Linked DNA regions of Macaca fascicularis. The protein of the gene in region 2 purifies or fractionates together with the protein of the main gene of each other region. This does not show direct contact. Links are inferred from orthologs where the notes say so. Each region holds a gene or a part of one and is shown on either strand. Other genes may lie near its edges.

Region 1 (7,427 bases), on a different chromosome or scaffold from region 2:
ATATACTAAATAGACAGCTCTATCCCACATTTATGTTTATTAAAAACTGACATAAACAAACACAACCTGTACAAAAAATATCCCAAATCCCGTATGACTTTGAAACAGTAATCTTGAGAGACATTATCGCCTAGGACCCCCTCTTCCTCTGCCACGGCCACGTCCTCTTCCTCTTCCTCTGCCTCTGCCTCTTCCTGCAACTGAAGGAAAAGAAAAACAAACCAAGCTCAATTCTCTTCTGCACAAATGTTACCGAGACACCACAAACAACATTTACACACACACCTTTCCCCGTTTATAGCTCTGTATTAGCAGCTACAGTAAATAAAAGTTTAACTAGCTTCTGTTAAATGTGTTAGACTTCAGATTCTCCCCACCCCACAACACATTATCATGCAGAACCAAGAACTAAAGGCCTAGGGAGATTATTATTTGTTTCATTTCAATTTATTTACTAAGAAATGTGTCAAACTTAAAAAAATAATTTTTCTTTATATCATGTCTCAAATTCACCATAAAATGATTTGAATCTCACAAAAAAAGGAAGATACATATCATAGAATAGAACACGATCACCTTGATGCCAGAGTTTTGGTAACTGAATAAAATCCAAGCAAGTTAATTCAAAACCAGGGAAGTTTAAATCTATTACATCAAATCACAATCTTATTAACTCTTCAGAAAATTGAAACTATTTTGACCTACACATAATCTAGTGCTTTAATCCATATAGCAATATCCCTGTCACTGGGTCATCCTAACTCTAGTTGAGTATCATGGTGACAGGGAATTTATCACCCAAATAAACTTATTTCATCTTCAGACAGCTAAGAATATTAGAAAATCCTGACACAGAAGTCAGTTACATTCTAAATGTTTTGCTTTTTTTTTTTTTTTTTTTAAATACAAGGTCTCTCTCTGTAGTCCAGCCTGCAGTGTAATCACACCTCACTGCAGTCTTGAACTCCTGGGCTCAAGTGATCCTCCCACCTAAGCCTCCTGAGTAGCGGGGACTACAGGTACAAGCCATCAGGTCTGGCTAATTTTTTAATTTTTTGTAGAGATGAGGTCTCCCTTTGTTGCCCAAGCTGCTTTCAAACTCGTGGACCAAAGCAATCCTCCAGCCTCAGTCTCCCAAAGTGGTGGGATTACAGGTGTGAGCCACCGCACCTGGCCACATTAGAAATTTGTACACGCTGATTCTAGTCTTACCATTCCAAGCAATAAACAGTGAGTTTAAGATGCTAATTAAGGGACATTCCACAAAATAACTGGCCCGTACTCTTACAAAGTGTTAAGGTCACAAAAGGAACCAGCTGATACACATTAAAAGAAACTAAGGAAACGAACAACTAAATGCAACCTGTTGTACTGGATTGGATCTTGGACCAGGAAAAGGACATTAGAGGGACAATCAGAGAAACGTGAAAAAGGTCTCTAGATAATATAATAGTGTCGCATCAATATAAAATTTCTATTTTTTGTAGTTACATGAAATTTTAACATTTAGGCAATGTTGGTGAAAGTGTATGGGAATTCCTTGTACTATTTTTGCAACTTTTTGTGTCTAAAATTATTTCAAAATGAAGTGTTAAATTGGGGGGAAAAACAGAGTTGGAGCAGTGTTGTAAAAAACAACAACAACAACAACAATAAAAGGGCTGGGGACCTGTAATCCCAGCTACTCGGGAGGCTGAGGCAGGAGAATTACTTGAATCCGGGAGGCAGAGGTTGTAGTGAGGCCTGGGCGACAGAGCATGACTCTGTCTCAAAAAAAAAAAAGAAATAAAAAGAAAAGAAAATGGACCAGGTATGATGGTGGCTCACACCTGTAATCCCAGCACTTTGAGAGGCCACAGCAGGATTGTTTGAGACCAAGAGTTCAAGACTAGCCTGGACAACACAGGGAGACCCTGTCTCTACAAAAAAATTAAAAAATTAGCCAGATTTGGTGGTGCATATCTGTATAAAAGAAAGATAAATTAAGAAAACAACTTTTTAAGAAGTGGGGAGTGGGTGGGGGGCAGGCATAAATAATTTTATTTATTTTTTTGAGACAGAGTTTCACTCTTGTTGCACAGGCTGGAGTGCAATGGCACGATCTCAGCTCACGGCATGGGCCACCGCGCCCAGCCAATTTCAGTTATTTTAAACTATATTATTTTAAATGTGTACACACAAAAACAGTAAGTCTAGGACGCATGTTAAAATGAACCAAATTGACCACACTTATCTCCAATTTCTTCTGAAATAGTATTTATGATAGAAAAGGAACAAAAACGGTAAGTACCCAGAAGAACAAAGAAAAGCAGAGAAAACATAGTAGATAAAAGATTTCGGCTGGGCGTGGTGGCTCATGCCTGTAATCCCAGCACTCTGGAAGGCTGAGGTAGGTAAATCACTTGAGGTCAGGGGTATGAGGCCAGCCTGATCAACACGATGAAACCCCGTCTCTACTAAAAATACAAAATTAGCTGGGTGCGGTGGCACACACCTATAATCCCAGCTACTTGGGAGGCTGAAACAGAAGAATCGTTAGAACCCAGGAGGCGGAGGTTGCAGTGAGCTGAAATCGCGCCACTGCACTCCAGCTTGGGTAACAAGAGTGAAACTCCATCTAAAAAAAAAAAAAAAAAAGAAAACAAAAAAATTTTTTTCAACAAAATTTTAAATCAGAAAATAGACTTGGAACTGTAACATTTAGTAAAGGAAGAATAACTTCTCAGCGTGGAGTAAGATGATACGAGGCAGGGGGCTTTCAATCATCAATTCCCTCACAGGTAGGTAGGTAGTAAAAGTAGAATAACCCTAAAGACATTAAGGCAAAAAGTCCTCAGATTTGAAAATACAGTCAGCCTTCAATATCCATGGGTTCCACATCCATGGATTTAACCAACTTTAGGCCTATGATGGTTGTCAGACTTTTTCTTGTCATTAACGCCTAAACAATACAATATAACTATCTACAAAGCATTTACATTATACTGGGTATTACAAGTGTACAAAAGGATGTGCAGAGGTTAGATGGAAACACTATTACCATTTTATGAAAAGGGACTTGAGCATCTGTAGATTTTGGTACCCACAGGGGGTTCTTGCAAAGTGGAAAGCAGCATGATACACAGCATGAGAGGTTAAATCATTGTTTTACAAGCTATGGATTACAACCATATTATTATTATTATTTTGAAACAGAGTCTCACTCTGTAGCCCAGGCCGGAGTGCAGTGGCATGATCTTGGCTCACAGCAACCTCCGCCTCCCGGGTTCAAGTGATTCTTCTGCCTCAGCCTCCCAAGTAACTGGGACTAAAGGCATGCGCCACCACGCCCAATTTTTTTTTTGCATTTTTAGTAGAGATGGGATTTCTCCATGTTGACCAGGCTGGTCTGGAACTCCTGGCCTCAGATGATCTGCCCGCCTCGGCCTCCCAAAGTGCTAGGATTACAGGCGTGAGCCACTGTGTCCAGCCGCATCAATGTTTTTAATAGCAACACCAGGAGTTATAATACACATTATAAGAAATATTAAAAAACAAAGACACTTGTGTTGTTTGCAAATATTTATATTATGAATAGTGTGGATTAGGATTAGCATTCACAAAAATTTTTATAATCCTTCAAACTTACCAGCTTCCCTTTTCTTAGATTTCACCTTAGGTTCAACATCCACAAGTAGTGTATCCAGAGGTAAACTGTCTGGTAGAATAAAATACCGAATGTTATTTCCTCGAATACTCAGCGTTTCCAGCTGTACAGGTTCTCTGTTCTTCAGGGTCATTTTCACAGCTTTAAGATGTGTATTCATGCTGACATCCACACCTAAAAAGAAAATAATTGGGCAGTTATTAGTATGATAAAAGTCAGGCAACTAATTAATCTACTGAGCCACAGTAAATACTGGACTACAAAAGAATACTGTTCTGCTACAGTGCAAGTTTTCTATGACATAATTTAGCACATATGCAACTGGTAAATGGGGGAATAACGTCAGTATAAATCAGCAGTGTTTCCTTCCTAGAGATTTTTCCTAGCACACTAAGTTTTGCTTACAGAAATGAATGCAGCAAGCAATGGAAGAACCCTGACTGGGCTTCAGGCTCACTACTGATCTGACAGGTATTTCTTGAATGTTTCTCTCACTGTCTTTGTGACTTTCTCATAATCCCCATTCCACTAAACTATCCTCACCTTTGTTTCTGCTTCTCTCTATATGTAATAATTGTTACCACTTTTGTTAAGAATATTTTGATTACAAAGTTACACAGGCTTTTAAGTAGTCTGCAACACCTATTCTTCTCATTAAGCTACTATTTTTAGTATGAGAGTTTACAAAATACAAAGCAATTTTTTAGGGTGATTATATGACATTATAGCTGAAACACCTGAATACTGAAGCCTTTACCAAATTATACCTGAACTAATGGGATAACTAAAGACCTACTTAGGCCAGGTTTGGTGGCTCACGCCTGTAATCCCAGCACTTTGGGAGGCCGAGGCGGGCGGATCAACTGAGGTCTTCTGACCAGCCCGGTCCAGTTCAAGATCAGCCTGGCTGACATGCTGAAACCTCGTCTCTACTAAAAATACAAAAATTAGGCCAGTGCAGTGACTTGACTCACGCCTGAAATCCCAGCACTCTGGGAGGCCGAGGCGGATGGATCATGAGGTCACAAGTTCGAGACCAAAACCCCATCTCTACCAAAATTAATCAGACCCTGGAGGCGGAGGTTGCAGTGAGCTGAGACTGTGCCACTGCACTCCAGCCTGGGCAACAGAGTGAGAATCCGTCTCAAAAAAAAAAAAAATGTACCCAGGCATGCTGGCAGGCACCTGTAGTCCCAGCCACTCGGGAGGCTGAGACAAAAGAATTGCTTGACCCCAGGCAGCGGAGGTTACAGTGAGCCGAGATCATGACACTGCACTCAAGCCCAGGTGACACAGCAAAACTCTGTTTAAAAAAAAAAATAGGCCGGGCGCGGTGGCTCACGCCTGTAATCCCAGCACTTTGGGAGGCCGAGGCGGGCGGATCACAAGGTCAGGAGATCGAGACCACGGTGAAACCCCGTCTCTACTAAAAATACAAAAAATTAGCCGGGCGCGGTTGTGGGCGCCTGTAGTCCCAGCTACTCAGGAGGCTGAGGCAGGAGAATGGCGTGAACCCGGGAGGCGGAGCTTGCAGTGAGCCAAGATCGCGCCACTGCACTCCAGCCTGGGCGACAGAGCGAGACTCCGTCTCAAAAAAAAATAAATAAATAAAAAAATCAATCAATCAATCAATTACATAATTCAGACAAAAGAATAAGAATCTGTACTACAATAACGTTCATTAAGCAATCAAAAAATAAACTCTGGATAGCAGGTAAAAGAGAAGAAAAAAATGTTATAAAAGTAGTCCAACCTCCGTACCTGTGATTGTTCCATGGACCTGTGTTCCGTTCTTCAATTCAATGGTTACAGTTTCATGACTCAATTTCATCAAAAATCTATAAATAGGAATAAAACCATTAATTTTTACCTGCAACACTTTAAAATCACATTTATTAAGGTAAAAAGATGAAACAACTAGACGCTGAAAATTTGTAGATGCTATCTGCATCAATTCCTATCAAGAATATGCTAACAATTTCAGCTTTCCTGAATCATATCCTCAACCTTTATGAAGGAACACAACAATACTAAAATGAACTGTCATTTGGACGTTTCTAATTCTCAAACCTCAAATCCAGACATACAAGATCTCAGACTCATAAATCATGAAAAATAAATAAAGAATTACAGTTGGTAAAAAGATTACAAGTTTATTACAATATTTATACATAAAGTAAAAATCTCCCTTCCTAACCCCCTGCACTGTGGGTATGTAGGAATATTATTCCAGATCATTTTATATGCACATTCATAAGCATATATACAGATTTCTTTTTACATAAATTGGGTCATATTTTATTCACATCTGTAACTTGTAGTTCTCGTTCAGCAGTTTATATTGGACATATTCCCATTTCAACATACAAAACACTCTAAGAACTGAGACTGGGTACAGTGGCTCATGCCTGTAATCCCAGCGCTTAGGGAGACCGAGGTGGGCAGATCATCTGAGGTCTGGAGTCCAAGACCAGCCTGGCCAACATGGTGAAACCCCATCTCTATAAAAACACAAAGATCAGCTGGGCAGGATGGCATGCGCCTGTAATCCCAGCTACTCAGGAAGCTGAGGCAGGAGAATTGCTTAAACCTGGGAGGCAGAGGCTGCAGTGAGCTGAGATCGCACCACTGCACTCCAGCCTGGGGAGAGAGCAAGACTCCATCTCAAAAAAAAAAAAAAAAAAAAAAAATTAGCTAGGCATGATGGAGCACGCCTGTAATCCCAGCTACTTGGAACTCCGGAGGCAGAGGCTACAGTGAGTGAGATTGTTCCACTGCACTCCAGCCTGAGCGACAGAGCAAGACTCCATCTCAAAAAAAAGCCAAAATAACAAAATAGGCCGGGCGCGGTGGCTCACGCCTGTAATCCCACCACTTTGGGAGGCCGAGGCGGGCGGATCACAAGGTCAGGAGATCGAGACCACGGTGAAACCCCGTCTCTACTAAAAATACAAAAAATTAGCCGGGCGCGGTTGTGGGCGCCTGTAGTCCCAGCTACTCGGGAGGCTGAGGCAGGAGAATGGCGTGAACCCGGGAGGCGGAGCTTGCAGTGAGCCGAGATCGCGCCACTGCACTCCAGCCTGGGCGAAAGAGCGAGACTCCGTCTCAAAAAAATAAAAAAATAACAAAATAACAAAATAACATTCTAAGAACTGAAAAGTATTCCACTATATGGAAATGTCAAAATTTATTACCTCCCTGTTGATGGACATTACTTTGGTTCAATTTTTTCCCATTACAAACCCAATTATGCAAACCCTCACCAACACAAGTTGCTGTTAAGTCTTTCAAATTTTTGTGAATTTGATGGCGGGGGGAATTTGTTTTTCCTTAATTACTTGTGAGACTGAATATCTTTTCATTAATATGGGAAAATTATTTCTTCCGTGAATTACCTGTTCACATTATTTACATATTCTCAATTAGGTTGAGTTTTTCTTTTATTTTCTACTTGTTTGCCAGTCATTCAAGTTTGTGGTTTATGGTTTCTTTAGTCACACAAACTTTTTTCACTTTTATGTTTTGAATCTGTTCATCTTCCTGGGATACATAATTTGCCTAGGAAAGGGTTTTTTCTATGCCAAGATTGTAAAAGATAGTATCTTATTTTCTTCTACTTTTAGAGTTTTAATCTACTTGGAATTGATCTTTTTTTATGCAGTGTAAGGCACAAATCTGTCTTTATTACTTTCCCCAACTGAATAGCCAGTTGCCTTGATAATATATAATGAACAAACTATCCACTTCTTACTTCATCTAGATTTCTGTTCTCCCCTTTTTA
Region 2 (6,888 bases):
ATTGCCCAGGCTGGAGTGCAGTGGGTAATCTTGGCTCACTGCAAGCTCTGCTTCCTGGGTTCATGCCATTCTCCTGCCTCAGCCTCCCGAGTAGCGGGGACTACAGGCGCCCGCCACCACACCCGGCTAATTTTTTGTGTTTTTGGTAGAGACGGGGTTTCACCATGTTAGCCAGGATGGTCTCAACCTCCTGACCTTGTGATCCGCCTGCCTCAGCCTCCCAAAGTGCTGGAATTACAGGCGTGAACCATTGCGTCCAGCCTCAAACATTTTTCTTTCAGTTGGTATAGGGTGAGAAAAACTCCTGGCCATAGTTGGGATTATTCTTTTTTTTTTTTTTAAGCATTTATTTATTATTAAAAAAAAAATAGAGATGGGGGAATCTCACTATGTTGCCCAGGCTGGTCTCGAACTCCTGGCCTCAAGCTATCTTCTCTCCTCAGCCTCCCAAAGTGTTGGGATTACGGGTTTAAATCACTGCACTCAGCCAATAGGGTTTTCTATCAGTGACAACTTGGAATTGTTTCAAGATTGAGGAGGGAGGGGCTGGTAACAGGTACTGCTAGTGTTCCTCATAGACCCACTGATACATGTCACATGATGTCATATACATGCTATGAGGCCATATCATCTTGGCTACATGATCTACCTTTTTTGTCTCCAAGAAATCCTGGCTGTATTCCTTTGCTGAGGGTGGAGGAGCTAATGAAGAAGCAGAGGTTTAGGACGCACAAAATAAGAGAAAGGAACTGCCTTGCATTGTAGTCACCCAAAGTCTCTGTGCTCACCTCTACTGTGGGACTAGACCAGCCAGAAGGTATTTCCTTCAGAATGTCTTGGTTCCTGGCTTTCTTTGATGACACAAATGCCTACAATAATTTCTTAGAAGTCAGCCTGCATAAAAGACATATGCATATTTTCTCCTGTGACACCAATAACTAAATATGGCATCAAGGACTATTTCAGGTGCCCACTATGGGGTATATAAAATATCTTGGTCTAGAGTATTTATAGCTGAGGTGGGTCAAAGAAGACACCCACTAAGAGAACTCCCCCAAAAGTGCAAACACATACTGGCTAGCACCTGGAGAGGACAGACTAGGCACTGCAGGTAAACTGGGAAATGAACCATTTTACTGGAGCTTTAAAAGATGATGCAGAAAATTATGATGCAGCATACTAATGAGTTTGGACATTGGCCTGTGAAAGCCACTAAAGTTGTTAAACAGAAGAGCAATAATAAGATCAAGGTCGCCGGGCGCTGTGGCTCAAGCCTGTAATCCCAGCACTTTGGGAGGCAGATGGGCGGATCACGAGGTCAGGAGATCGAGACCATCCTGGCTAAGAGGGTGAAACCCTGTCTCTACTAAAAATACAAAAAACTAGCCGGGCGAGGTGGCGGGTGCCTGTAGTCCCAGCTACTCGGGAGGCTGAGGCAGGAGAGTGGCGTAAACCCGAGAGGCGGAGCTTGCAGTGAGCTGAGATCCGGCCACTGCACTCCAGCCTGGGGGACAGAGCCAGACTCCGTCTCCAAAAATAAAAAAAATAAAAAAATAAGATCAAGGTCACGTCAGTTGTTTTCAAACTTTCAGTCAATGAATTCTCTATTCATACAAATTTTTTCTTAGAAACTCAAAAATTTAACCTAGATGAAAGTCAAGCAGCTCTGGCACACATGTGTGCACATATAAACACAGTCATCTGCTGCACTCTTAAAAGCATTTGAAAAACTGAGCTTTGGATGCCTTGTGCAAAGGACTGATCGTAATTATATCCTCAGCATTTTGGTGCAGTACTGTGTGCAGAGTGGGGGGTCAGTGTTTGTCCACTGAGTGCAAGTTCTTGTAACTTAATTGGGACAGGATATGGAATTTCCAAATTAGAGGGAAGTTTTAAACGTCTTAACTTTAGGTCACGAAATTCAGCTAACATATATCAATCCAAATGATGGACTAGTCATGATTGCTAATAGAAGGAATTTCTCCTTGTTATTAAAACAACTACACCAGAGGCAAGCTAGCCTGCCACTTAGACAAATCACACTCTAAGTTTTAAAGTCTAATTTCAGTTTTTCTCTTACAAGAAAGTCTTTTAGAAAATTTTTACATTACCTAAAGGCACAACATGCATTACAAAAACCAATAATGCACTCATAAAAGCATTCAAAAGAAAATTACAGCTCTGGCTCCTTTCTTATCTGCCCACCCTTAGAAATGACTCTACTCTCTTACACTGCTTTCAAAAAACACTCAGATACAATTAAAAGCAGAATTGATGCTCTTTGTCCATTGAAATGATTCAGTGTATGTACCCTTCAAATTGATTTTAGGTTCCAATTACACACAAAACAATTAGTCCATGTTTTCCCATTTGGTCCATGCCTAAGCAATAAAAAGCAAATCATTGCTATATTCTCCTAAGCTGCCATGATGATGAATGGGGTAATAACCATACTATTTCCATGTCATGGGAACTTATGATAATAAGAATGAACATTAAGTATTTTATTTATGGTAAAGATATATTATGAACTAAGGTCCAAAATATATACAGATGCTTAATAACTAAAGGAAAAGGCTACATAAATACAATCTTAGACATATAACAACCAACACCACTACCCAAGCAGCTTGCTCTCAAATTTCTACCAATGTGACAACCATTATGTACCCATAATAATTTTTTAAAAAATTTAAAGAGGCAAATCTAAGTTTCTAACAATGTACTATCATCTAAGTGACCATTTCTATAACAGACCTCTGTTCTAAAGACAAGGGTACCCATATTGACAAAGGTGTTTTGTTAACTATAAAGCAAGCATTATTCACATGTAAAGGCTTGGTTAATAACTGGTTGTTATCACACCAGCTTTGTATGTTAGCATTTTATTCATTCAACCAACATCATGAGCTTTGGTTTCCTCACCTGCAAAATGCAAATACCTATCTTCACTGAGTTGTTATGAAGGTTTAATTATTAATAGACATTCAATAAACAGCAAGTTCCTTTGATGGCTAAGCATTGCACTGGGCCCTGGAGGCATTAAGAATTTACGTTAAGAGGTCCTGTTCTCAAGAAGCACAGAATCCCTAGGAGCACCTACAATTGTTGATAAGCTTCGACTGTTTTTTCCTGGTATCAAACAGGAAGGGAAAGTTCAAGAGAAAAGATTGAGGTGTTTCACAAAAAGCTGTAAGTTTATTAACACAATGTATTCTAATATGTATCAAAGTTTCAAGTAGGTCATGTTGAACCTCAAATTAGAAATCACAATATTTAGTATTAATTAAAAAGGAAAAAAAAGTGGAAAATTGTCATTCATGGGATTTAGTCCAAAATGAAAATGTAGAAAACATTTATTTTGGTGGATCTGTGTTGATGCCATATTTCTCCTTGAGAAGCTTCAACTGTTCCTCCTTTTTCTTTGTGTCCATCTTCTGAAATGCCTGGAAATGTGGTAAGCACCAAAATTAAATTACCAATCTATAGCCAAATGAATTTCATCAATAGCATTAGCCAAAAAACAAAGTCACAGTAGACATATATCATCACAGTACAGTTCTACACTAATTCTCAAATGAGATCACTACACAATGAGAACTTACTTACCCTGTTGGCATTATAGTACAAAACCACAAGGTATCTGTTACAAACATTGAATCCCGATAGGTGATCACATGCATTCTTGGCATCAAAGATGTCCTCATAGACCACATAAGCTGTTCCTCTAGTTTCAGGTGTGTTCCCCCTGGAGAGTTAAATCAAATTTAATTAAGATATACATTTACCGAGCATTGATAGTTGACTTACAGAACTGTCTTTTAAAAACAGTAAATTGAAATATGTTTTTAGTTAAGTATTTTGAAATCAACCTGAAACCATTAGAGGAAATAAACATGGATAGATATACTGGATAAACCTGTAATTTCTTGAATTAGGTAATTTTGCTTTTTGCTTTTATCTTAAGTAAAATATCTATGGGTCAAGCTGACTGTCACATCAGGAATACTAAGAACATAGCTACTACACAGAACAGCCTCGCGAGTTGTGGGGACTACAAGTGCTCTTGCCACCCTGACTGGCTCTACGATGTCTTTGTTTTGTTTTGTTTTTGTTTTTTTTTAGATAGAATCTCACTCTGTTGCCTAGGCTAGAGTGCAAGTGGCATGATCTCAGCTCATTGCAACCTCTGCCTCTCAAGTGATTCTTGTGCCTCAGCCTCCCAAGTAGCTGGGACTGCAGGCATGTGCCACCAAGCCCAGCTAATTTTTGTATTTTTAGTAGAGACAGGGTTTTGTCATGTTCCCCAGGCTGGTCTCAAACTCCTGACCTCACATGATCCGCCTGCCTCACCCTCCCAAGGTGTTGGAATTACAGGCATGGGCCAACACAAACGGTCTACATTCATTTTTAATACAACTCAAATGCTAATGCATGCTACAGCTGTGTGGCTAAGGAGAAGGGCTAGGCTTCTGCGAAGATGGGAGTGGAAGTGTGCTTGTGGACAGGGTTATCTGTGAGCCAGGGCAGAATGCTGGACGGTGGCTGGAAGTGGAAGCTGACTTTACTCATGGATACGGGGTTGCTGTTAGTGTAGGTATTCCTGGCTACTTCCTTCCTTCACCTCACCAACTTCCTCTGGGAGAGGTAGAGAGGTTTGAGGAGCAATGGAACACTAAACTGCAGGCAGCAGATGGCCATGTGACTGTTAGTGGAGACAATGGGTAGAGGTCTCACTCAGTTCAGGCTCTGGGTGACAAGATGGCCCCCTTGCCTCCATCTGTGTTCCAACTACCCAGTGCAACTACTGTGGAATGAGGTTTAAGACTGTGGGCTGACTCTCCATCTGCCACAGTCCCTACATTGGGTTGAGTAAAAGCAGTGGAGCCATGGGAAGAGGAGGTAGCTGCCTAGACTTGATCTAGGACAGGACTATAGTCTGGGCCCTGCTCAAGCTTGTGCTTCCTGTAAAATTGAAAAGGTATAGGGTACTGCGGGTGATTGGAGGGTGCCACTGTCAATGAATGTGCTCACTTTGTCAGGTTGTGTGGGCCTGACAAGGGGTTTTAGAATGTTCTTTAGGCTCTGGGAAGTCTTAACAACTTTCAGACTTTTGACTTTTAAAAACTTAACAAGATTTTCAGTTCCTTAAGAGCAAAGGTGATCTTATGTGTACTTCATTCACTCCTTTAGTGCCATGCATAAGGCAGATGCTAATATGCCTTTGAAAAGTGGAGATCTACTTTCTCCTATCAATTCTCTCACACTCACTTTGTCCAGGAAGCTCAAAACAAAACAAAGCAACTCTCTTTCTTCCTCTCATATCTTCTTAGGAACTAGAACAGGGATAGACACTAACCCCACTTTAAAGACTCTCCATCTTAAGTTTCCCAGCCCTAATTATCATCAACCTCACACCTTGAGAGCCATACTATAATTTGAACTTTTAAAGGCATGTATTTGTACCTACCACGTATTGGACACTGAGCTAACATTATTTTCTTATTTTTTTGAGACAGAGTCAAGCAATTCTCGTGCAGGCGTGCGCCACCATGCCCGACTAATTTTTGTATTTTTAGTAGAGATGGGGTTTTGCCATGTTGGCCAGGCAGGTCTCAAACTCCTGGCCTCAAGTGATCCACCCGCCTCAGCCTCCCAAAGTGCTGCAATTTTCTTGACTGGCATTAAAATCTTAGAGTAGGAATAAGAACACCTAAGCATGTAACTTAGCCTCTCTGAGCTTCGGCTGCTTCACCTGTCCAGTGCCATCAGGCTCTATCACGTGCCCTACCTTCCATGTGGGTTTAATAATCAAAAGAGGTAACAAGTATGAAAGAGTTTTAAAAAATAAAAAGTACCAAGTGTCTGCTACATGCCAGGTAGGGTCAAACCAAATCATCCTGATTTGATTGGGACTGTCCAGGTTTTAGCACTGAAAAGTCCAGTGTCCCAGAAAATCTCTCAGTACTGGGAAAACTGGGAAGGCTGGTCACCCTAGTGCCAGGTGCCAGGTATACAATAAAGCATGATTATAGTAATGGAACAGAAAAACAGCTGTTTCTCAATCTATAATTTAGACCTAAGCTCCTGTACCCTAAACTTCTATTAACCTATTCAACACATATAGACTATGTTCTTTCTGTGACAGGCACTAGAAATACAATAGTGAAAAAGACAAGCATCATCCCTTCCTTCCTTCAAGCTTATATTCAGGCAGTAGAAAGATATTACATAAATATGAAATCATTATAAATCTTTTTTGTTTGTTTGTTTTTGAGACGGAATCTCACTCTGTCACCCAGGCTGGAGTGCAGTGGCGCAATCTTGGCTCACTGCAACCTCCACCTCCTGGGTTCAAGCGATTCTCCTGCCTCAGCCTCCTGAGTAGCTGGGATTACAGACGCGCGCCACCACACCCAGCTAATTTTTGTGTTTTTAGTAGAGACGAGGTTTCACCATGTTGGTCAGGCTGGTCTCAAACTCCTGACCTTGTGATCTGCCCACTTTGGCCTCCCAAAGTGCTGGGATTACACGCGTGAGCCACTGTGCCCGGCCCTGAAATAATTATAAATCTTAGGAAATGTTTCAGCTTGGCATGGTGGCTCATGCTTGTAATCCCAGCACTTTAGGAAGCCGAGGTGGGAGGATCACCTGAGGTCAGGAGTTCAAGACCAGCCTGGCCAACATGGTGAAACCCCATCTCTACTTAAAATACAAAAATTAGCCAGGAATGGTGGTGGGTACCTGTAATCCCAGTAACTCGGGAGGCTGAGGCTGGAGAACCACTTGAACCTGGGAGGCAGAGTTTGTAGTGAACCAAGATCGTGCCATTGTACTCCAGCCTGGGCAACAAGAGCGAAACTCCATCTCAAAAAAAAAAAAAAAAAA
Region 3 (7,427 bases), on a different chromosome or scaffold from region 2:
GCGCAGATCTGTCTGCCACTTCCCGGCTTCCTGGCGGACCTGCTGTGCAGCATGCAAACCTTGCCCGAGCGCCCACCGAGCGCTGGACGCTGAGTCCTGGGCTGGGTCCTTGCCCTCATGCGGCACTCACCGGGTCCTCAGATGCGCCTGCGCCGGCGGTCATCCATTCGGGCTCCTGCACGTGCTGGTGCCCGGGAGCCCCGGCCTGCCCCTGCGCTCCCTCTTTAGCTGGCGGGGTCGCGGCTTCGCCAAGCTGCTGGCGCTCCCTCTCGCGGTCCTGCGCGGCGCGCAGCTGGATCTGCACGGCCGCCAATTTGTGCCGCAGCTCAGCATTCACCAGCAGGAGGCGCTGCAGCTGCTCCTGCAACTGGGAGCGGAGCAAACGGTGGGGTGGGCGGGGCACCGAGGGCCCGCGGAGCCCCGCCCCGTGCCTGCCTCGCTCCGCCCCCCGCTCCGCCCCCGGAGCCCCCGCCCCGCCCACATCTTGCCCTCACCGCCTCGGTCTCCTGGCCTCGCTGCCGCAGGTCGCGGTTGTGCGCACGGAGTTCGTCCCGCTGTCGGTCCGTCACCTCCTTGAGCTGCCGCAGCAGCGCGCGCTCCTCTGAGGAAGGGGCGTTCTTAGCGGCGGCACGTAGGCCCGCGGGAGGGAGAGGAGGACCCGAGCCGGTCGCCACCCGCCCTGCCCTGGCCGGAGCTGGGCTCACCCTGTGGCCCCGCGCGCAGCTCCCTGCGGAGGCGCTCGTTCTCCTCCCGCAGCCGCCGCAGCTCCTGCTCCGCCTGCTGCGCCGACACCTGCAGCTGGGGAGACCCGGGTCTCAGGCTTCGGCCCTGCCGGCCCCGCGGGTGGCGAGGGGAGCGCCGTGACTCACCGAGTCTGGGGCGGGCCCCACGGCAGCCTGTTCCAAGAGCTCCAGCGCCCGCACCACTAGCGGCACCAGCCCTGCCGCCGCCTCCGGCCCGAAACGGCGCGCCAGCTCCTGCAGCTCAGTGCCCAGGGCCCCGGCTAGATGGTACACAAGCTCCGCGGCCGTTCCCGACCCCGCGGTCTCCCGAGACCCCCAGCCAGGCGCCACTGCCCTTCTGGGCTCCATGTCCCCCAAAGGCTTAGGGCTGCGACCCCTCCACCCTCAACTGAGACGGGGAAAAGCCAAACAGTTCCGCCCCAGGAAGCCTTTAGGGCTGTGTGGGCGGGGTAGAAGCGAGAAGGGTGGGGAGGAACGAGGGAGAAGGCGTGGGGAAGGGAGACAGTGTCCTAGGTCCCCTGGGCCCTGTCCCTTCCATGCCCAAGGTCACAGGAAACAGGACAGCCAACTTCCAGCCAGACGTCCAAGAGCTGAGGCTCAGGGCTGCAAGTGGTCACTTTAGTGGAGCCCTCCCCACAGGCCCAGTCCAGGCTCCGCCCCGTGTGTGGAGTCATGGGGCCAACTTGGCAGCGGGGCACTCCAGGCGAGAGGTGACAGGTAGGCAGCCAGTCACTGGCCTCCGCCCGGCTGTACACCAGCTGTCTGCCTGTGTGCTTGTTTTCCTGACCAGGAGTGACACAGAAAGCTTAAAGGGCTGGGCTGGACACCATAGCCGCTCAGCGCAAGCCAGAGTTCCTAGACCGGGAAAGGTCAACTGCTCCCAGAACTGTGGAAAGGAGGCGAGGGCTTCCAAGTACTGTTTTGTAGAGAAAGCAGCAAATGTGGTCAAGGCAGCGGAGTGTGAAAGCCCAGCCCCGCCTCAGGTCTCCACTGAGTCCAGGGGCTATCTACCCCAAAGCCCTGAATAGGAAGGTGGCCTCATACTCCCCCTTCACAGCGAGCCCAGCATCTTGCTGTAAACCGCTCCAGTCCAGTCACACCTGGGGCTGGCTTGGAGGCGGCGCAGGCTGCATGAGGCAGGAGCCCTGTTAACTTTGGCTGTTTCCTTCTCCTGTTAGACCTAAATCCAGAATTTGGGTTCGGGGGGAAAAAAAACAAACAGCCCCTGAACTCCTATTTATACAAAATTTATTATTATATTTTATTCAGGATGACAAGCCATCAGGAGGTCAACAACACAACAAGCACAGACAGAGGGAGAGGCCAAGCTGCTGAATGTCAGCGGCCTGTCTGGAGGGGCTGAGGCTCCGGCCTCAGGAGGCTGAAGCTGGAGGCAGGGAAACAGCTAGGCATAGAGGTCCTCCCGGTCCGCAGAGTAAACCTCCCCCTCCTGCAGGAGGGCGAAGTTGAGGAAGTGGGAAGGCCTGTGCACCTCGTGGTAGAACTCTTTGGGGTTCGCCAGCTGCAGCTCGTATTTCATGTTGGGGTCATGCCGAACACCTTCGGGGAGAAGGAAACAGCCAGCGTCAACAGGGCTCCCGCCTCATGCAGCCGGCACCACCTCCAAGCCAGCCAGGCCCCAAGTGTGACAGGCGATGGCCTCACCTTATCACTACTGCTATCCCCACGTCCCCAGGCTCCTCCCACTTACCCATAAAGTTGTAGTTCCACGAGGACTGGGCAGGGACCATGAAGAAGCCAAGGAAGCGGTCCGACAGCAACATCTGGACCCTCTCATAGTGTGAAGGCAGGTAGCCCTTGGGGTTGTTGCCCTTGTCTGTGTTCTGGCGGCCCCATTCGTAGCCGCTGGGGGTCAGCTTGTAGGCCGTCAGTGTACAGGAGCCTGGTGTGAAGCTGGGGGAGGGACGAGGACGGAGTAACAGCTCAGGTCACTATTCTGGGCCCTGGCCTGCAATCCCTGCCCCACCATACTTCCTCCCAAGGAGCCCAGGCCCACCTGCACGTGATGATAATGGTCTTCTCGCCATCCCAAGATGGGTTGTCAGCCATGATCTTGGCATGGGTGGTGACATCCTGGGGTGATAATTGCGGGGACTCATTGGGCTGAGTGTGGATCCAACCTAAGGGTTCCATCTCCTATAGGTAAAGAGGAGTACAGAGCTCTTCAGAATCCCATCTGCAGACAGGAATCGCACCAGCTTTTCCACATTCCCAGGCTCCATCACTTTCCATTACCTTGAGGTACTCATGCTGGGGCAGCTGGCCAGGCAGGTGCACGGTCTGGTGAGTGCCCCACTGTGGCACCATCACGATGCAGCGTATCTCCTTCACCTGGGGGTTATCTGGTGGGCTCACCCCATACAGGTATCCTGCAATCTGGAGACAAAGGGGTCAGGAACCAAAACTCTTCTTAGTACCAGCTCAGAGGTGGAGCTGCCAGCCCTGTTTTCCTTCCTTCCCCCAAGAACGAGGACAGTTTCTTAAAACATGATCAGAACCCCTGTATCAGAATCAGCTGCGGTGCTTGTTCAAAATGTTAAACATGGACCTCATTTCAGACTTCCCACATCAGGACCTCCTGCGTGGGGTCCAGGAATCTGCACTGCTCACAAGCTCCCCAGCTGATTATTAAGGATAGCATTCATAAGCAAATGAGCATACAAACCTCCAGCTCAGTGTATTTTCACAAACTGAGAACATCTGGAAATCCAGCACTTGGTGCTATTTTAAATTTTACATTATCACCAAGTAAGAGGATCTGTTTACTATAAACTCACCCACACAGGATATTAACAGTCTTCTCAAATTTGCCAACCTGACAGCCACTAATAGTGGGTTTTTTTTTTTTGAGGCGGAGTCTCGCTCTGTCGCCCAGGCTGGAGTGCAGTGGCGCGATCTCGGCTCACTGCAAGCTCCACCTCCCGGGTTCCCGCCATTCTCCTGCCTCAGCCTCCCGAGTAGCTGGGACTACAGGCGCCGCCACCACGCCCAGCTAATTTTTTGTATTTTTAGTAGAGACGGGGTTTCACTGTATTAGCCAGGATGGTCTCGATCTCCTGACCTCGTGATCCACCCGTCTCGGCCTCCCAAAGTGCTGGGATTACAGGCTTGAGCCACCGCGCCCGGCAATAGTGGGTTTTTTTGAGATGGAGTCTCACTCTGTTGGCAAGGCTGGAGCGCAGTGGTGTGATCTCAGCTCACTACAACCTCCACCTCCTGGGTTCAAGCAATTCTGCGTCAGCCTCCTGAGTAGCTGGGACTACAGGCACATGCCACCACGCCCCACTAATTTTCATATATTTCATAGAGACAGGGTTCTGCCATGTTGGCCACGCTGGTCTTGAACTCCTGACCTCAAGTGATCCACCGGCCTCGGCCCAAAATGATCTTTTATAAACTATGAATATCCCTGATACACTAGTAAAGTTATGCATCTTTTTTCTTTTTTGAAGCAGGGTATCACTCTGTCACCCAGGTTAGCATGCAGTGACATGATCTCAGCTCACTACACTCACCACTCTCCAGGATCAGGTGATCTTCCCACCTCAGGCTCCTGAGTAGCTGAGATTACAGGTGTGGGCCACCATGCCTAGCTAGTTTCTTAATTTTTTTGTAGAGACAGCATTTCGTCATGTTGCCCAGGCTGGTCTCGAACTCCTGGGCTCAAAAGATCTGCCCACTTCAGCCTCCCACAATGCTGGGATTAGTCATGAGCCAGTGCGCCCCGCCTGGAGTGCAGTGGTCATCAAAGCTCACTGCTTTGGTTCAAGCAACCTCAGCCTCCTGAGTAGATGGGACTACAGGCAAAGGTTTTTTGTTTTGTTTTTTTAGATGGAGTCTTCCTCTGTTGCCTAGACTGGAGTGCAGTGACGCGATCTTGGCTCACTGCAATCTCCCCCACCTGGGTTCAAGCAATTCTCCTGTCTCAGCCTCCCTAGTAGCTGCAACTACAGGCGCATGCCACCATGCCTGGCTAATTTTTTGCATTTTTAGTAGAGACGGGGTTTCACCATATTGGTCAGGCTGGTCTTGAGCTCCTGACCTCAGGTGATCCACCACCTCGGCCTCCCAAAGTGCTGGGATTACAGGCATTAGCCACTGTGCCCAGCCTAGTGTTGGGATTACAGGCGTGAACCACCATGCACATCTGGTCAGGAATTTGTTTCTGACCATATCTATTCTCTTCCAAATACTATCAGGTTAATACTACATTTACTACCTTCTCTCAGCTGCCACAGCTTTTGCTATCTCATGGGGCCAAAACCCGCCTCGTTGTTTTGGCTATCCTTGCATAATTACTCATCCATGAATCTTGAAACCAGCATCTCAAGTTCTAGACAATCTCAGGTCGGTGTTTTAGGCACAAAATGTGTTGGGCACACACTGTGGCCTGAGTCCACTTACTCACTTGGGCCCGAAGGTCAGATATGCAGATGAACTTCTTAAGCACATTCTTGGGAAGGATGTAGGTGTAGCCAGTCTCCTTGATGTCGTCAGATGAAACATAGATGTGATTGGTCCTTAGGTGCAGGTTGGCAGCAGAGATGGCCCTAAAAACGTGTAGGGAGTGTCAGCATCGCTCAGCCCAGCACCTTAGGTAGTGCAGCCGGCCTTTCCATCCCCACCCTCTTGCCCCTCACAGTACCTGACCCTCCACTCAGTCTTGGATGAGAAAGTCTGGGTCTCATAGTTGCTGGTGGTGGAGGTGATGATCTCATCGCCATGCTTGTTGACAGTGCGAGTCTGTGTTGCCGTGAGCTGCGACTGTTCCTTGGTCTGCTTCTCGATCTCAGCAATCTGCTGCCGCTGCTGTGACGGTGCCGAGATCTCCATACCCAGGATGATGTCTCGAATTTCCGATTGGGTCAGTGATGCCACATTCACACTGTGGGGACGGTGTGGGTTATATTAAAAGGATCCCTTCCCCTTGGTCACTTCTGCCTCAATGGAAAGGGTGTAACTTGGTAGGACAGGGCAGCCTATACTCACGCCCCAGACAATCCACAAGAGCTGCTTCTACAGGAAGTGTGAAACGGAGGCGTACTAACACTTCCAAGATTCGTCAGATCCAAGCGGGACAGCACACGGCGTGTGCACCTTGCCACTGTTTAGCATCCATACACCCCACGCTTCCCTGACCAAAACAATGCTCTGGCACGGAACACTTCTCAGAAATGGAAACCCCAGAAACCCTACAATACTGGTTCTTAATCAGAGGTGGTATTGTCAGTCACCCTATGAATAGTTTGGGTTGCCACGATGACAGGGAGGGAGACGAGGAGAGGAAGGTGTGTGTGTGTGTGTGTGTTGGTAGCAGTGTCAGATACTTAGGGTCTTGGATGTTCAAACTTCTTACCATGTATGGACAGTAAAGAAATGCCCTGTTCAAAATGGCAACAGTGAGAAACAACGGCCAAGAGTCAGAATGAAGCCCTAAAACACAGACGCTTCTCATACTATTGAAAGACACTGGCCGGGCGCGGTGGCTCAAGCCTGTAATCCCAGCACTTTGGGAGGCTGAGGCGGGCGGATCACGAGGTCAGGAGATCGAGACCATCCTGGCTAACACAGTGAAACCCCATCACTACTAAAAATACAAAAACATTAGCCGGGCGAGGTGGCGGCGCCTGTACTCCCAGCTACTCGGGAGGCTGAGACAGGAGAATGGCGTGAACCCGGGAGGCGGAGCCTGCAGTGAGCCGAGATCTGGCCACTGCACTCCAGCCTGGGCGACAGAGCGAGACGCCGTCTCAAAAAAAAACAAAAAAAACAAACAAACAAAAAGAAAGACACTGCTGTATCTCTCTTCTATGAGACTGTCAGATAATTTCTTTCCTTGTTTTCAAGATAGGGTCTTGCTCTGTCACTCAGGCGGGAGTACAGTGGCATAATCATGGCTCACTGCAGCTTCAAACTCCCGGGCTCAAGCAAGCCTCTTGCCTCAGCCTCCATGAAGCTGGCACTACAGGCGTGCACCACCACACCTGTTTTAAATTTTTTCTTTTGTAGAGATAGGGTCAGTCTCTTTTGTTGATCAGGCTGGTTTCAACTCCTGGCTCATGCAATCCTCCCACCTCGGCCTCCCAAAGTGCTGGTATTACTAGCATGAGCACTCAAGCCCGGCCAAGACAAGATAATTTATTGATAAACTTTTCTTTTTTTTTTTTTTTTTTTTTTTGAGACTGAGTCTGGCTCTGTCGCCCAGGCTAGAGTGCAGTGGCCGGATCTCAGCTCACTGCAAGCTCTGCCTCCCGGGTTTACGCCATTCTCCTGCCTCAGCCTCCCGAGTAGCTGGGACCACAGGCGCCCGCCACTTCGCCCGGCTAGTTTTTTGTATTTTTTAGTAGAGATGGGGTTTCACCGTGTTAGCCAGGATGGTCTCGATCTCCTGACCTCGTGATCCGCCCGTCTCGGCCTCCCAAAGTGCTGGGATTACAGGCTTGAGCCACCGCGCCTGGCCCTTTTCTTTTTTTTTTTGAGACAGAGTCTCACTCTTGTCACCCAGGCTGGAGTGCAGTGGCGCAATCTTGGCTCACTGCAACATCCGCCCTCAAGGTTCAAGCAATTTTCCTGCCTCAGCCTCCCAAGTAGCTGGGATCATAGGCGAGTGCCACCACACCTGGCTAATTTTTGTATTTTTAGTAGAGACGGGGTTTTACCATG

The links. Proteins that work in one complex are often made in the same cells at the same time.
Region 1: the proteins of SF3B6 (region 2) and SNRPD1 fractionate together in Homo sapiens (co-fractionation; 3 studies listed by BioGRID and IntAct, with this or other methods). This does not show direct contact. The link is inferred for Macaca fascicularis from reciprocal best matches to the Homo sapiens genes SF3B6 and SNRPD1.
Region 3: the proteins of SF3B6 (region 2) and PRPF8 fractionate together in Homo sapiens (co-fractionation; 3 studies listed by BioGRID, with this or other methods). This does not show direct contact. The link is inferred for Macaca fascicularis from reciprocal best matches to the Homo sapiens genes SF3B6 and PRPF8.

What each region holds. Positions count from the first base shown.
Region 1 is NC_088392.1:68,134,419-68,141,845, forward strand, and holds part of SNRPD1 (small nuclear ribonucleoprotein Sm D1), read right to left. Parts: intron 5,485-7,427; coding exon 5,408-5,484; intron 3,821-5,407; coding exon 3,629-3,820; intron 201-3,628; coding exon 124-200; 3' UTR 1-123. UniProt on the Homo sapiens protein: Plays a role in pre-mRNA splicing as a core component of the spliceosomal U1, U2, U4 and U5 small nuclear ribonucleoproteins (snRNPs), the building blocks of the spliceosome.
Region 2 is NC_088387.1:98,206,454-98,213,341, reverse strand, and holds the end of SF3B6 (splicing factor 3B subunit 6), read right to left. Parts: intron 3,749-6,888; coding exon 3,610-3,748; intron 3,447-3,609; coding exon 3,357-3,446; 3' UTR 3,171-3,356; downstream 1-3,170.
Region 3 is NC_088390.1:1,769,954-1,777,380, forward strand, and holds the end of PRPF8 (pre-mRNA-processing-splicing factor 8), read right to left. Parts: intron 5,650-7,427; coding exon 5,410-5,649; intron 5,315-5,409; coding exon 5,173-5,314; intron 3,141-5,172; coding exon 3,000-3,140; intron 2,901-2,999; coding exon 2,761-2,900; intron 2,658-2,760; coding exon 2,455-2,657; intron 2,304-2,454; coding exon 2,149-2,303; 3' UTR 1,975-2,148; downstream 1-1,974. Other genes in the region: RILP (rab-interacting lysosomal protein), read right to left, coding at 131-367, 495-601, 705-798, 870-1,091. UniProt on the Homo sapiens protein: Plays a role in pre-mRNA splicing as core component of precatalytic, catalytic and postcatalytic spliceosomal complexes, both of the predominant U2-type spliceosome and the minor U12-type spliceosome.